2 linked regions of the Nothobranchius furzeri genome follow. The protein of the gene in region 1 purifies or fractionates together with the protein of each later gene. This does not show direct contact. Links are inferred from orthologs where the notes say so. Each region holds a gene or a part of one and is shown on either strand. Other genes may lie near its edges. The genes, in order: ppp4r1l and ppp2cab.

Region 1 (3,033 bases):
AGTAGGCACAGCCCGGCTCCTTGAAGTAAGCTGGAAGGAAGCAAACGGGAACTTCGTAACAAACATTATCCTCTTTTGCTTGTGCAATTCTGAGCTGAGGATGTTTTACAAGCTGCATGTCCCACACCGGGTCTATTTATAGATCACCTTTCTCCATGACGCTCTGTCGTAAAGCCTTGGCCACCAAAACTCGGACGTTAGCCACCGGATCAGAGGAGAGGCTGAGGAGGCTGGGCAACAGATGCTGGCTGAACTGCTCCATGGGCATGCAGTCCTCCTCAACCACGGCCTGCAGGGAGAACCACAAAACTATCAAACTCAGACAACTAGTGGAGGGGGGGGGGGGTCAACTATTGTAACCACAGGAGAACATTTGTCAGATCAGTCAGAGAAAATGGTGCTTCCCCACTTCTCCCATTAGATCCACAGACCTGGCAGATGAAAGCAAAGGCCTGCCTCCCCACCCACTTGGGACAGTGGCAAAACCTGACGGTGAGCTCGTTGATGAAATTCAGGCCAAGGTCGTCAGCACCACATGCATAAAGTTTCTGGAGGATCTCCACCACCTGAGAGCAGAGGAAGTGATGACACACTCGCTCCATCTACACAGTGTTCATTTACACGGTTTCATTAAAAACAAACACCAGTATTTAGAACCTAATTCTGTTGGGCAAAAGTTCACAAGCTGCTTGCATTTTTCCTCCACAGGTCAGTTTGCGCAGCCGGCAGTAAAACGTACCAGTTTGTAGGAGATCCACCTGACCTCTGAGACCTTGTCAGAGCAGAGGGTGAGGGCGATCTGTCTGAGGTAGTCATACACATCGTAGTGGCTGTACAGCTCAATGATCAAGATCAGCTGCCTAGAGGACAAAGCCAGTGAGGCACACGGTGAATGCACGGGGACATACCGGCCGACTGATATATCTGTCCACTCCTAGTGAAGATCCTCTCTCCCTCAGAGACACTTACTCTGCCAGCTCATATCTGAATCTCCAGTTTCGACTGTTGTCCGTCACCATGAACTCCTGCAGCTGGTACAGATACTCTCTCCTTTTGTCTGCGTGCAGCAGCTGCGACACAAACCTGCTCCGTTATCAACAGCAAACAACCTCCTCTCTCGCAGACCTGCCAACCTTGTCAAACATTTTTTGAGTACCACCTGTGCGGCGTTTTTCGCAGACTTTTACAACTCCATTGCTTTTCACGCTGTAATCTCCCCATTCACTGGATGGAAAATTTCACACACACACACACACGCACACACACACTTTACCTTACCAGAACAGCAGCGAGTGGCGAACCAGTGGGAGAGAGGAGGAACGAGGCAGGGAGGAGGGGGGTTTTAGGCTACTGGTTAGGCAGGATAGGCTTACTCTGCTTTTCTACGATGATTGGCTTAAACTTCTTCACCACGCCACTGAGTCGTGTTGTCAGACACGAGTACCACACGTACATATTTGCCACAGAACTCAACTCACGTATCCGCAGCTTTGTGCGAAGTTTAAATGGGTGAGTCGTACCAGCGTAAATAGATGCCAAATTGCATACTGGCGACGCAAAATGCGTACAGGTTGGCAGGTTTGCTCTCGTTATGGCGCAGTGGAGATCTTACCTTCAGGAAGTCGTACAGGTGCTTGAGCACGCCGATGCGAACCTCATCTAGGTCTTTGAGGAAGCCGTTGAAGATGGGAACCAGATCAGCTGCAGTCAGCTGGTCCCCCAGGATAACCGCCAGCTCATGGATGGAGAAAGCCAACGTTCGCCGCACCTTCCACTGAGAGGGAAAATGTGGGGAATTAAAACCATAAAGCCAGTGCTAATAATCCAACACAAAGTGGAGTGTCTGTGGTGACCTTAAGCATGAACCACTACAGATCCTGTTTTCTGATGAGCTTCAAAGCTACAAAGGCCCAAACACCAGACATCATTACACTTGTGATTTCCTGATACCTACCTGCACGTCCGTGGCGAGGGTTTCATATGTGTCCTTTAGGCAGTGCCAATTCTGTCGGCCCAGAGTGAGCGCCACACCCGGAAGGCTGAAGGCACAGTGTTTGGCTATCTCCGTGTCCACCGTCTGGGCCCGGGCGGGGTCCGTCATAGAGAGGTACTGATCCAACAGCTGCTGAGGGATGACATTCTGCAGACAGGAAGTCCAAGTTAGATGATTAAACACGAGGAATCCATAATGATCGTGGGATTCGTTTATCATGACCGACCTGGATTTTGGGCTTATCCTCTGACGTTGGGCTGTGAAGACAGGCGTCCTTTTCCTCCTCCTCCACATTTTCAATTAAGCTAGACTCCTGAGGAAAATGAGAACCCACAAAAACGTAAAAGAGCAGGAAAGTACAAGCGAAAACCACAAATATCTCAAATCATCCATGAAAACAACTAAAATAGTTTTAACAAACGGTTTAACAAAGCTGCCACAGACTCCAAACTATTGCATGAAAAATCTAATCAACAGAAAAAATAATAAACACTGCGATGCAGCTCTGAGCCGTTAAAACAGGGTCGCCCTTGGAAACCTAAAACAGCTGACAATCATGGTTTGGGGCCAGAACATCCTCTGCTGTTGTTGAAGTTGTTCTCTGCTTTATATTGCATTTGATTAAATATATTATGCAACTGTGCACAAATGGATGCGTCTGTGGTGTATAATAGTTTCTACACCTTTACCAGTTTCCCTAAGAGTGATAACCGTAGATGTGCATGTGCTCCTGCCATAGTTAGTGAGGCTGCGCACGTCTCCACGATCATTTCATGGCCATGTTTTTATGGATATGTACCCGTAGTATCTGAGGCCCCAGAACAGGAGAGTTGGGTGGAGACTCCTCCTGCTTCTCCAGAGGTTCAGTTTGAGTCTCTTCATTTTCTTGCTCCTGGACCGGACACGTTTCTGCAGCTGGAGAAATTTCCATTGTTTCTTCTTGGTCTGTGCTAGCGTCCTCCATCTCCGGCTGTAGATCAATAGAAATGCCGTCCCCTGATAGGCCCTCAGGGCTGTCTTCAGGCGGCTCCTCGGTAGGG
Region 2 (3,500 bases), on another chromosome or scaffold:
CTTTTATTTGAAATAACACAATTCTCAACATTAAGTTTGCTTGTTTTGGGCAATTGATACTTCTGTTCTCAATACAATCTAATATTATGGAGCACAATAATTTAAATTCACATTTAAATAAATGTATTTTTTATGTCTTCGCCTTGCTGTGTCAGTGTAATTACAACTGGCCAGAGAAATCCAAATATAACTAGACTTTTTACAAGAATGAAGAATAACCAAAAACACAATTCAAGAAGTCATCTTTATTATTCTAGTAGGTTATTATAGAGTCTGAAGCTAAAAGGAAGCAGGTGAGTTGATGAACACTCCATCTTTTCTATAAACCAAGCCATCTGACTGCATGAGAAGGGATTTTCCTAAAACATACACAGGTCAAAAAAAACTGAAGGTTTACATGCAATTTAAAAATAAACAACAAAAAAACTATCAATATCGTGAAATCGTATTAATCTTTTTGACATATTTAACATTTCTTTAACTGTACAAAAGTGCAAACAAATCACATTCAAATCTCAAAAACCATGGTCTGCAGTAGCAAATTAGTCTTGGACTTTGGTGCCGTCAACCCAGCTCCATATGTACAGGAGGAGGAGCCGAGACATCCAGGATGTTCTATTTTGTCATTTCAGATACAATAAATATTTAAGTGATCATGGCACACACCTTTTGGTCCGTTTATAGACACATTTGCTTTTGCGAAATGCTTTAACTAGATTGGATAAACACAACGTGCAACACTGCAGCCTCTCAGGCCTCCATCACGTTGTTTTCAGTTCAAAGTCAGATAGGTTGGTGGTTCTGGACAGGACCGGACCGGACCGTGCGCGGGTCGAGACTGCAGGTTTACAAGAAGTAGTCTGGGGTGCGGCGAGTTACATGGGGCTCTCCTCTGCGAGGCGCTGGATCAAACTGCAAGCTGAGGAGGAACATCAGGAAGAAAAAAAATCACAACTTATTCTAAGATTTCTTTGTCCACTCGTGATGAAATTCGCCTGCTTACAAAGAGTATTTGAGGGTGTCGTCTAGCTCCATGATGGCTGCCTGGTTTCCACAGCGATAGCAGTAGTTAGGAGCACTAAAAATGGTCACCACGTTCCTCTCATGGCACCAGTTGTAGCCCTGAGGTAAGCAGATGTAATATTAACACGCATCTGAACTTAGCGGCACTGCTTCTTTGTTTTTAATCATCTTTGGACACAAAGACAAACCTCCATGACCAGCTGATGGGCGCGGGACACCAGCGTGAGGCGGTTGGCGTGGTTGAACGTTTCAGAGATGTCCTGACCAAATGTGTAGCCAGCTCCTCGGGGAGAGATGCCCCAGCCGCCGCGGTCGTCGGGGTCTGACCACAGCAGGTCGCACATGGGACCCTGCGTGACAACGAGAATGGTCACAAACGTTTTTATCTTTATTGTTTCGTTGCTGATCTGCACCACATTTAACGTCTTTCTTTACCTCGTGCGGCACTTCCTGTAAACGATCCAGAGCTCTGATGTGATCCAGCGTGTCTATAGACGGTGATAAGCCCCCGTGGAGGCAGAAAATCTGAGGAAAAAAAATCGATAATTATAACAAATTATGATGCTTTTCAAAGAAACGTCAAGTTCGGTCTTTTTTATTACGCTCCTCTCACCTGAGAGTCTACCAGCGCAGTGAGGGGGAGGTAATCGAACAAGTCTGTGAAGTATTTCCAAACGTTTGCGTTTCCGTATTTCCTTAAGCACTCGTCGTAGAAGCCGTAGACTTGTGTGATCTGTCTGCTCTCGTGGTTCCCTCTGAGGATCGTGATGCGCTCCCGGAAGCGAACCTGAAACACAAACATCTGTTTACGTCGCGTTTTTCACCCCAAAGAGGAAAAAAAAACTGTTTTAAATGTCTGACAAAGTCACCTTAAGAGCTACAAGTAATGTGACGGTTTCTACAGAGTAGTACCCTCGGTCCACATAGTCCCCCATGAACAGGTAGTTTGTGTCCGGCGATTTCCCACCGATCTTGAACAGCTCCATGAGGTCGTGGAACTGGCCGTGCACGTCGCCACACACGGTCACTGGACATCTCACCTCCTGGACGTTGGACTCTTTGGTCAGGATCTCCTTTGCCTGCAGAAGGAAAGTTGATTAGAGAATTAAAACTTGCACAAGCCAGGCAAAGGCCACCATTTTCTTTTTGTCTTCATTCAGGCACAGCCCACTTCCTGCTAGCGCTTACAACGGCCTCCATCACGTCTCATCAGGATGCTGCACACGGAGCGGGGCTGATAGCATTTTGATGCAGCGACTAGCTTCCTGTGGGGCGACCCTGTGGTGCCCGGACGGGCAGCTCTGGCTGCACGGCAACGTTTCTAAAAATCCATAAATGTGATCCTCCGAAGATTAAAAGGCAAGTGCAGAATAAATTTTAGTGGATTTGCATAAAAGTTTTGGTTCACTTTGATGTTAATTCACATCGGATCAGACAAATTAGATTAACGTGTTAAATTCAGAAAAATAAATGTGATTCTGGATTATTAAAGCATTTTATTTTTACCCATAAATCATCAGAGGGGCCTGACTGGCTGCTGCAGAGCATGACTCAGCATGTGGCCTACAGCCAGAGCCAGAGGAAGTCACCATTAAAATAAGACAGGATTTACCACCAGTTGGCTTGATTGGTAACCTCCAGCTGTGACTGCTTTTATGTTTCCGATTGTTTTACCTTCATGGTAAATCACCCGGAATTTGGCCGTTTGCTGAGTATTTTTGTGAGCTGTGTGACCGTGGATCCCTTCACAAACCAGAGAACGAGTGTGTTCCTTGGCTGGTGGCCAGCTGATGGGATAGAAACCCAGACGGGCCAGGATGGCGCTGCAGCGTTGCACAACGTTGACCTACATTGCATCCAAACTCCACGTGTCCCGACCGGCGTGCGGCAGGAGGCTTCGGGGGCCACACTGAGCCACAAATCTCTAAAGCAAACAGAGGCACTAAGCCAGAGAAGAATATTCTAGGTGTCTGGATGAAAGTGGAACACAAACACACAGGACCCATCTTTGAATGGATGAGGCGACAGGAGATAAAGTGGATCTGTCTGGGTTCCTCATCCTAGTCAAACCGTAGACATATCTACGTCTACGAGTTCACGTCGGTGTCATGGCTCATGATGCCGTCAGCACGAAATGGAACATTAGAAAGGGATCTTTGACGCTGCCGTAGTCATGAAGACGAGCTTTAATTAAGTCCAACGTATCAGGTTCTGAGCCAAACTCGTCCATCAACACCTGCTGGAAACCCTCGGGTCGTTTCAGCTTACGGAGAAATCAGGTGATGTTCAAAAAGAGCAGAAACGATACATGTACTCAAAAAATAAGGACTTTGGGGATGTTTTCGAAGCTCGTTTCTGTGTAAATTTTATAATCGCTGCTAAACTAAGAAATCCCTGTCGAACTGGACCCCTGGGTGCAGCTGAAGCTGCTGGTGGTCGCAATGGCACAACTCCATCGATCACTCCCCTCGAGCTTA

Evidence for each region.
Region 2: the proteins of ppp4r1l (region 1) and ppp2cab purify together in Homo sapiens (affinity purification with mass spectrometry; 3 studies listed by BioGRID and IntAct, with this or other methods). This does not show direct contact. The link is inferred for Nothobranchius furzeri from reciprocal best matches to the Homo sapiens genes PPP4R1 and PPP2CA.

What each region holds. Positions count from the first base shown.
Region 1 is NC_091743.1:58,789,915-58,792,947, reverse strand, and holds part of ppp4r1l (serine/threonine-protein phosphatase 4 regulatory subunit 1), read right to left. Parts: coding exon 2,793-3,033; intron 2,307-2,792; coding exon 2,220-2,306; intron 2,141-2,219; coding exon 1,955-2,140; intron 1,775-1,954; coding exon 1,613-1,774; intron 1,071-1,612; coding exon 970-1,070; intron 861-969; coding exon 740-860; intron 567-739; coding exon 432-566; intron 290-431; coding exon 148-289; intron 31-147; coding exon 1-30. UniProt on the Homo sapiens protein: Regulatory subunit of serine/threonine-protein phosphatase 4. May play a role in regulation of cell division in renal glomeruli. The PPP4C-PPP4R1 PP4 complex may play a role in dephosphorylation and regulation of HDAC3.
Region 2 is NC_091750.1:60,013,379-60,016,878, forward strand, and holds the end of ppp2cab (serine/threonine-protein phosphatase 2A catalytic subunit alpha isoform), read right to left. Parts: intron 2,103-3,500; coding exon 1,893-2,102; intron 1,811-1,892; coding exon 1,637-1,810; intron 1,549-1,636; coding exon 1,459-1,548; intron 1,374-1,458; coding exon 1,212-1,373; intron 1,123-1,211; coding exon 1,004-1,122; intron 920-1,003; coding exon 847-919; 3' UTR 620-846; downstream 1-619. UniProt on the Homo sapiens protein: Catalytic subunit of protein phosphatase 2A (PP2A), a serine/threonine phosphatase involved in the regulation of a wide variety of enzymes, signal transduction pathways, and cellular events.